2 separate regions of the Mus musculus genome follow, and region 1 is reported to be linked to region 2. The links are microRNA targets in miRTarBase. Many come from high-throughput screens and were not tested one by one. Region 2 holds a microRNA gene; the other region holds the end of a gene's coding sequence.

The links. Region 2 holds the annotated microRNA mmu-miR-106b-5p (UAAAGUGCUGACAGUGCAGAU, at 2,493-2,513, shown strand). A microRNA usually pairs through its seed, bases 2 to 8, with sites in the 3' UTR of a target mRNA and lowers its output. Matches are read on the target gene's strand: a 7mer-m8 pairs with bases 2 to 8, a 7mer-A1 pairs with bases 2 to 7 and ends in A, and an 8mer does both.
Region 1: miRTarBase lists St8sia3 as a target of mmu-miR-106b-5p. Seed matches in the 3' UTR shown: 7mer-m8 at 2,445-2,451, 7mer-A1 at 1,926-1,932 and 7mer-A1 at 1,835-1,841.

What each region holds. Positions count from the first base shown.
Region 1 is chr18:64,271,243-64,275,632 of GRCm38, reverse strand. It overlaps St8sia3 (ST8 alpha-N-acetyl-neuraminide alpha-2,8-sialyltransferase 3), which reads right to left. Exons shown (of 6, transcript NM_009182.3): 6 at 1-4,119. The coding sequence ends at 3,837. The region is part of intron 1 of St8sia3os (ST8 alpha-N-acetyl-neuraminide alpha-2,8-sialyltransferase 3, opposite strand); the gene reads left to right. Among named protein-coding and RNA genes, the nearest start is that of St8sia3os, 3.7 kb to the left of the region's middle.
Region 2 is chr5:138,163,910-138,168,299 of GRCm38, reverse strand. It overlaps Mir106b (microRNA 106b), which reads left to right and starts at 2,482; the gene lies at 2,482-2,563. It overlaps Mcm7 (minichromosome maintenance complex component 7), which reads left to right. Exons shown (of 15, transcript NM_008568.3): 8 at 128-242; 9 at 328-459; 10 at 666-749; 11 at 861-1,254; 12 at 1,534-1,617; 13 at 2,222-2,390; 14 at 3,139-3,248; 15 at 3,380-3,717. The coding sequence ends at 3,581. Mir25 (microRNA 25) reads left to right here and starts at 2,896; the gene lies at 2,896-2,979. Mir93 (microRNA 93) reads left to right here and starts at 2,690; the gene lies at 2,690-2,777. It also overlaps Cops6.

The DNA.
Region 1 (4,390 bases), not on the chromosome of region 2:
AACGAATACAATAGTTCAAAGGCTGTTGTCTCGATTACTTACATGATGGAAAATGTTTCTTAACTCAAGGGGCCCTTGCTGAAAGTTTTATATACAAGGAGAAGTACACAGCCACTTTTAGCCTTCAAATTCTAAATCATGCACACATGATTTTATTGAGATGAATATACTATCAGGTACAATTTCATCTGTCAGCTGTGTACCATCAATAACAGAACTGGGACTTATCAGTCAAGGATTAACAGGTTTCTCTCTCATTTTAGGGGAGAGTGGGTGGTTTTCAGCAGGCTGCTGTGTACTGGGCAGGTATCTCCCCTACTGCTGTGTACCCAGGCAAGTGCATTTAGTAGTCTTTTCCCCTTCTTCCCTTACGGCCCCTCTCCATTATGTTTACGCTCCAAATATTCCAGAGTTAAGTTGCTTTCCTTTGACCTGATCTTTGATTCTGATAAGATTAATATGTGAAATCATAACGTCAATAATTATCTATGTAAAATTTTGGGGAAAATCTATTAGTCTATCTGTATCTCAACCTTAATATTTGTAAAGCCAACATGGGTTAGAAAACTCAATGACTTCTCCCTTTCTATTGTTCCTGCTTCTCTGGGGCTCATGAATTATTGTCTGAGTGTTTGGGGCCTTGCTTGAGGTGAGATAGCATGGACTCATATTCATTGAATTCTCTGATATATTAGTTTTGTCTGGACACTCATATCCATTGGCACTGACAGCCTTGGTACCAGAAGGTTAGGTGAATGAACGGGGTCTTCCTTTGTATATCCTTGCTATAGCCCATGTCTGATATTCAGGTCAGAGACAGATGGTTCAGTGGTCATATTCAGCATTGGCAGACACACAGTACTACTAGATAGACTGCATTTTTAAAAATAACGGTTAAAGTTGCTTAGCATGAGAACACAGTCTGGGAATGGAGATCAATGGTAGAGTATTTGTCTACCATGAGCAAGGTCCTGGGTTGGATCACCAGCTCCATAGACTCACACACAGACCCCAAATTTCCGGGTGTGGGAGGAAGTCATGGCAACCACCTTTTGACTCATGCTGCCAGGAGTTTGTAAATTTCCTTGTCTTCTCTGCTAAGTAAGTAGTTATTTTCAGACAGCCTTGGGAGCATTATAGTGAAATTTATTCACATAGCTGATGGTGTACTCAGCTCTAGGTAGCCGAAAAAAATGAGTATGTTTCTAAGAAAAGAATGTACTAACCCAGATCCAACCAAGTGGAGCCAACATAGAAGGGTGGGGTATGAGCGTGTAGCTGCATAAACAGGAAACTCAATGGTCCCTCTGCTCTGTCCACTGCATTTGAGCCTACAAGCCTGGGGACTGTGGGAGAGCCAACAAACTCTGGCTGCTTTTCTAATAAGAAAATCTTCCTGCCATGAAAGCTGTTGCATTGGTTTACATGTTGAAATAGTTTTGGGAAACAGAAAAAAAAAATTGTAGAATCAGTTGGTCAGAACAGCAGGTCCAGGATACAACTGAGGTTAAAAGGTGCATTAAAAAAAATAACAAAAAACACCACAACATTCAACTAGCTTTGGGGATCTTCTAGTCTTTGAGTATTTTGTCTTGCTTAGTGTAAAGAGTCCAAGTTTATATTTAGTAAGACCTGATGGGCACACTGAAATTAAAGCTTTCGAGTCAGAATCTGGCCTGGATAATGTTAGCATTGGAATAACTTAGCTGCAACCAAATGAGCTAAGGGCTTAGGAATAGCTAGGCTTTTCAGTCCTGATGATAACTGCTGCAATTCTGTCAAGTCTCCATGACCCACACCCATCCAGAGTAGCAGCATGGTGTCCTGCACTCTTTAAAGTGACAGGGCACAGCCATGGTGTGGCTTACTGTGACAGGGCACAGCCATGGTATAATTTTCATGCCCATGAAATTGTCCTTGAATTCTAAAGTGTTTTTAAAAATACCTTATAATTTTAATTTTCTTACTATCCTGTGCATAGTAAATGCTTCTTATTTTGAAATATTTAGCCCCTAGTTCCTCTCCTCTATCTAAGTGGCTGGCATTCACAAAGGGTAAGATGTGCCACAGTTGGCATTGTGTTTGGATCTGAGTGGCTTTCTTTCACTAGATTTATCTGGGGTCGATTTATCTCCTCGAAAAGACCAGTGCAGCTCCAGGACCAGGCGCTACACAAGAACAGTGCATGTCCTTACTCCACTTCTTTTTAGGAATGGTTGGTTTTGTTTTTTCCCAAAAAGGGCCAGTACACTGATGCCTGAACTATAGCAAGGGCTTTTAAAAATATTTACAACACTGTAAGCTGTCTAGATGAGATTTCTGGACAAGAACAAGATAACCCACTGGAACATATAACAAATGTGCTCCATGGGCCCTTGTAAAGAGGAAAGTCTTATGAAAATTTAACATCAACTTGGCCAGACTTTGGGTTGAATTGCAAGAACAAAGTGCTGCTCAGTGTAAACGCCTGGGATGGGAGCGATGTGATTTCTACGGATACAGCTGAAGCAGTGAGAACAATGGCCAGCTGATCTCAAATCCCAAAGGTTACTTAGGACCAAGTATTCCCACTGCATAATGGCTTTTCTTTTTTGAGATGCTCAATGTATAGGCACACAGACTTGGAAACAGAGAATAATATCTTCAACTGTTTCAAAGAAAGCAAGCATGTCTAGATCCTTGTTGGTGGAGATGTCACAGAAAGGATCTGACATGACTAATGCTAACATGCGTCACACAGGGACCAGTCTGGCCAAAGCTCTAGTTTGTCTTCTACACCAACTCTTGTGCTTCTCCAATGTCTCCAATGGTCACAATTCTTTGCAGAGTATACAACCTGCAAACACTCTTCTTCCCCTTTCTTTATAGTCCCTAGGGTTTAAATTAACCCAATGACTCTTTTTTTTTTCTGAGAGAGTGCCCAGCCTAGCGCTTGAAATTAAATAGTTGAAGGCTACACTAGAAAGCCCTTGCAGGATCTGCCACAACTTCGCTCATGCCAACAGACACAATGCTACCCACACTGTGGGCTTTCTTTTTGACAGAAAGAAGAGACACTGTAGCTTATGCCACTCTACTCAAATAGACCACCATGCTGTAGAATAACAATATGGACCAGTAAGAATAAGAGGCATTTCCTATAGAATTCTTCACGGGGGAAGACATTAAGATTTGCTCAGTTTGTTATGAAACATCCAAGTTATCCAGAGCCTTGAACACAATGGGTACAGATGCAAACACATACAAGCAAAGCTAGCCCAGAAGTATTCCTAATTGGTACTAGGGCAACAGGAAGTGTGTGTGTGTGTGTGTGTGTGTGTGTGTGTGTGTGTGTGAGAGAGAGAGAGAGAGAGAGAGAGAGAGAGAGAGAGAGAATGCAACCTGCAAACCAGTTTTTTTACTTTTTATTTTGAAGATTCTGATCCCCTTGGCTAAAGAGATCCTGCTGGAGCTGGCCAGAGCTCCCTGGTTGTGAGGACTATATCAAAGTAGAGAGGAGGAGATGACAGTCACATTCCTCATTCACATGGGAGTCGGTTTATTATTAAAATACAAACTTAGAACTATTTCAAGCTATTCTCTGTGCAGCATACTTCCAAATGCAATATAACCTTTTCCCAATCAAGTCTAAATCACACGGCTTCAATGCACCTGTCCTAAGTTTGTTAAGACCATTCAAAGAGCAGTGCAAAAGAGGAAGAGAAGGCGTCTTTCCTTGTAAGTGGCAGACAGGCTTTGCCAGATTGTCTATGGGTTCTGTTCTGGAGACTATTCAATTTGGTTTGGGGGTGGGGGCACTTTTTAATCAGCCGTTTGGCACTTTCCATTTGGAGTTCTTAGGCACAGTGTGACAGAGTGAGCTTCGTGAGCCCTTCCCCATGCATTCGATAGAGCAGCTGAAACTCAGCAGGCAGCTGGTGAGACTCCTGCCACTTGGTGGTAAATTTGGTTCCTTTTTTGTCATAGTAGTGGTAGGGCAGATCCTCCCTGGTGTTGGGGTCAAATCCAAAGGGCCAGAAACCGTACAAGTGGATCTCTTCACATATTGCAGATGCAAGAGTATACATTAGGATACCTGTGCTCAGTCGTTTGGGTGACAGGTGTTTGTTTTTCCAGTACCTGCAGAACAATAAATACATTGCAGATTCAGCAGCTGGTACTGAATGAAGGTTTCAGTCAGATAAGTCAAGAAGCAGGGCAAGGAGCTAGAGTTTTCTAGACTGTTTGGGTTTCACCGCTAGATACACTTCCCAGCTTCAGTATGCGGTCGGGCCTGCTCCCTTTCGGATGGAATTTAAAATGTCATAAAAAAATCAAATAAAAATGGAGCAGAAGGGAGTAAATACGATGATGTCAAAGATTTGGGATAACGACCTGGTTCCGAACTCTG
Region 2 (4,390 bases):
TGCCTCCTCATCCACCCACTCACTCTTCACACCCTTAGAAAATGAAAATCAGTGAGGTGGAACTTGTGGATAAAAAATTCTCAGGGACTCTGGTGATGGGGACTTTAAAGGGAACTCTTGTGTCCAGGGCTTACTCTCAGAAACTTACCTGGAAGCCCACTGGATTGTGAAGATGACAAAGAGTGACGATGATGTCTCTGGGGCCGGAGAGCTGAGCTCAGAGGAGCTGAAGCAGATTGCAGGTGAGGGACCACGAGCTCAAGTTGAGAGTTGAGCTCCATCCTAGATTTTGTCCTGAAGGAAATGCTATGGCTTAATTTTTTGCAGAGGAGGATTTCTATGAGAAGCTGGCCGCTTCTATTGCTCCGGAGATCTATGGACATGAAGATGTGAAGAAGGCGCTGCTGCTGCTTCTGGTGGGTGGTGTGGACCAGTCTCCTCAAGGCATGAAGATCAGAGGTAAGAAGGACAAGAGACTTAGGAGGGAGGGTAAAAAAACATCCCACGAGAGTCTGTAAATGACAAGAGTTGATGATTTACCTTAGTGGTTGTTGTGTCTTAGAAGTAGTCTGGACTTTAAGAAGGGACCAGGTCTCAAGTGCTCTTCTCTGTTGGTGGACAACTTGGGTAAAGAGTATCACTCAGGCTTCCTTCTCATTTGCCAGGAAACATCCACATCTGCCTTATGGGAGACCCTGGTGTGGCCAAATCTCAGCTCCTATCTTACATCGACCGTCTGGCACCGCGAAGTGAGTGTGAACAGGGATGAGGCTTGGTGTTTGGTTGATAAACACTAAGGCCTCTGGAAGGCCTGGGGAAAGCGGTTCCTTTCTTCAGCAGTTTGCTCTTTATCTTTGCAGGTCAGTACACAACAGGCCGTGGCTCCTCTGGTGTAGGGCTCACAGCAGCTGTGTTGAGAGACTCTGTGAGTGGAGAACTGACTTTAGAGGGCGGTGCCCTGGTGCTGGCTGACCAGGGCGTGTGCTGCATTGATGAGTTTGACAAGATGGCCGAGGCTGACCGCACAGCCATCCATGAGGTTATGGAGCAGCAGACCATCTCCATCGCCAAGGCGGGGATTCTCACCACGCTCAATGCCCGATGCTCCATCCTGGCTGCGGCCAATCCTGCCTACGGCCGATATAATCCCCGCCGCAGTCTGGAGCAGAACGTCCAGCTTCCGGCTGCTCTGCTTTCTCGATTCGACCTCCTCTGGCTGATTCAAGACCGGCCCGACAGAGACAATGACCTCCGGTGAATGAAGTAGATGACACCCATAGAGACAGCCCATTTTAGTGACTTTGGGGCAGGGAGGTAAAATCAGAAAGCCACTCAACTTGTCTGTGTGCAGACACCTTAAACACCTTTCCTTGTTTGCAGTTCATATGGAGATAGGTTGGAGCTAAGATCTTGAGGGTTTTCTGGGAGGCCTGTCTGCCATGCTTTGGAGAAGAGGTGGTGCTAAAAGGGGATACTGAGTCAAGATTCTCAGGGTGTTAGAGCTCTAAAGACTGACGCCCGTCTTCTCTCCAGGTTGGCCCAGCACATCACCTATGTCCACCAGCACAGCCGGCAGCCCCCTGCCCAATTTGAACCTTTGGACATGAAACTTATGAGGTAGGAGGGGTGGAGATGGGTATGTCTGGGGAGAGTACTGGTCTGTGGCATTGTCTTATGCCAAGTGTGTCTGGAAAGCATTGAGTCTTGAAAGGACTCATCTGCTTATCTATTTCAGCCTCAAAAGTAGCTGAGCCTGGGTCTCTCTGTAGCCAAGGGATCATCAGAAACTTTTTTTCTGTTTTGGGATGACAGAGCAGCAGGCCTTATATAATCCTAGCTACTCTGAAACCTGAGTCATTTTGGGGATGTCTCCAAAAACTACTTCCCTCCTGTATATAAAGGAACCTCTCTCACTCTCTAAATCCTGTCCGAGGCAGGTCTAGCTTTTTGGCCATAAGTGCTTCCATGGCACAGATGACTCGGGTTTCTAAACTGGTTTTCACATGGTCTCTGAAGTCTGTCAAGGGGTTAAGTTAAATCCTCCCACTACAGGTGCTTTGGTAAATGTCATTCTCCTGAAAAGTTGGAAGTTACTTGAAGTGTCCTGGCAGCCCTGTTTTGGAGAAATCCCTCACTGTCCACGTCAGCATAGAATATTAAGTGGGGAATCTCATAAAGCCTGCCTGCTTTCCCGCTTTCCCATGAACCTTGTTTCCCACAGACGGTACATAGCCATGTGCCACGAGAGACAGCCCACAGTGCCTGAATCTCTGGCTGACTACATCACCGCAGCATATGTGGAGATGAGGCGAGAGGCCCGGGCCAGTAAGGATGCCACCTATACTTCTGCCCGGACCCTGCTGGCCATTCTCCGACTTTCCACTGCTCTGGTGAGTGGTGGGTCCCTGTCAGCTGGAAAGCTGACCCCTGCCTGCCACCTCACCTAATGACCCTCAAGCCGCCTCCTTCCCTCCTACCAGCCCTGCTGGGACTAAAGTGCTGACAGTGCAGATAGTGGTCCTCTCTGTGCTACCGCACTGTGGGTACTTGCTGCTCCAGCAGGGCACGTGCAACGCCCATGGAGGGAAAGGCTGCTTGCTGCTTGAATCCATGAGGGCTAGGACTTGAATTCCTGGTGTCCTAGATATGATCTTAGAAATCTCCATTCTGTCCTCCCCTCTTGGACCTTAGTCATGGGGGCTCCAAAGTGCTGTTCGTGCAGGTAGTGTAATTACCTGACCTACTGCTGAGCTAGCACTTCCCGAGCCCCCAGGACACAACCTCTGATAGTGGCCCTAGCTGAGCGCCCCAGGCTCCATTTGTTTGATGGGGAGCCTAGTGGAGTTCAGAAGGGTCTGGTCTCCCTCACAGGACAGCTGAACACCCACCGGGACTGGCCAGTGTTGAGAGGCGGAGACTTGGGCAATTGCTGGACGCTGCCCTGGGCATTGCACTTGTCTCGGTCTGACAGTGCCGGCCCAACACTGCAGATGTGGGGGGGCAGGGAGGAGTCCCCATTTTTGTTCAATGAGTAGGCAAATGTGGCTTGCCCAGGCTTGAAGCTGGAGCAAAGAAAGATCCTTGACTTCATTCCCCTCCTCCCCTCCTATCCCAATCTTTTCTATGCCTTCCCCTTAGGCTCGACTTCGGATGGTAGACATTGTGGAGAAGGAAGATGTAAATGAAGCCATAAGGTTGATGGAGATGTCGAAGGACTCCCTTCTAGGTGAAAAGGGACAGACAGCTAGGTGAGGATTTTAATGAAGAGTGAGACTGGACCACTGGGCTTATTGACCTGGCTTGCCCTCAGGGTTTTGATGCTGATTGCTGCTACTGTTTGTGGCCTTGCACCTTCACCTTTTCCATCCTTGTCTTTTAGGACCCAGAGGCCAGCAGATGTGATATTTGCCACCATCCGTGAATTGGTGTCACGGGGGCGGAGTGTCCACTTTTCTGAGGCTGAACAGCGCTGCATATCTCGTGGCTTCACACCAGCCCAGTTCCAGGCAGCTCTGGATGAATATGAGGAGCTAAATGTCTGGCAGGTTAATACTTCTCGGACACGGATCACCTTTGTCTGATAGCCAGTTTTTACACCCTCCTGCCTACACCAGAGGGCATGCTGAATGCCCCCTCAAGAAAAAATCTCATTCTCCCATGCTGCACTTTTTTATTCTGCCAATAAAGTGTTTTGATTGCCTCTTGCTTGTTAATAACTCTGTAGAGTTTTTAGTATGCTCTCTCCTCCCCTAGTCTCTAGTACTGACCCTTACTATGTGCTAGTCAATCTGGGAGATAGAAGGCCTTGGGACCACTGTTTCTTGAGATGCTTCCAATTATGGACATTTCGTTTGTTAGACCCCCACATCTAGACGTGATGACACCAGGATGTGAAGGGCAGAAAGTTGCGCCTAGCACAAGGTATGACTTAAGTGGAAGGCCTAAGGATGAGGTACATATCACCCTCCTAGGTACCTTCAGGATATAGAAAAACAAGGACTTGAGATAACCACAATTACAAAGATGGAATTCAGCTTCCCTCCCCTTCCTATTTGAGAAACATTTGCAGTGAAATTAAATTAGCCTGGGAAAGCAATCTTTCTGTGGAGCTGTGACATGAATTGATCACAGAGCACAAAAACTGGAAGCAAGCAGGTCGTCCTATCACATTTTGTCTACTTCAACAAGGGGTCACCTCGAGTCATTAAAAGGTGGGTAGGTGGTCAAAAAATGTGGATTAATGGGTGAAGCTTCCTTAAGAGTCCATGTTGAGAAACCAGTGTGGTGCCTGAGAGGACAAAGCCACTGGAAGGGCTGCTAAGGGGCTGCTCTTTTATTAATGAGTTTCTCTAAAGGGAATGTGGTACTCAGGTCCATGGAACAGCTGTCT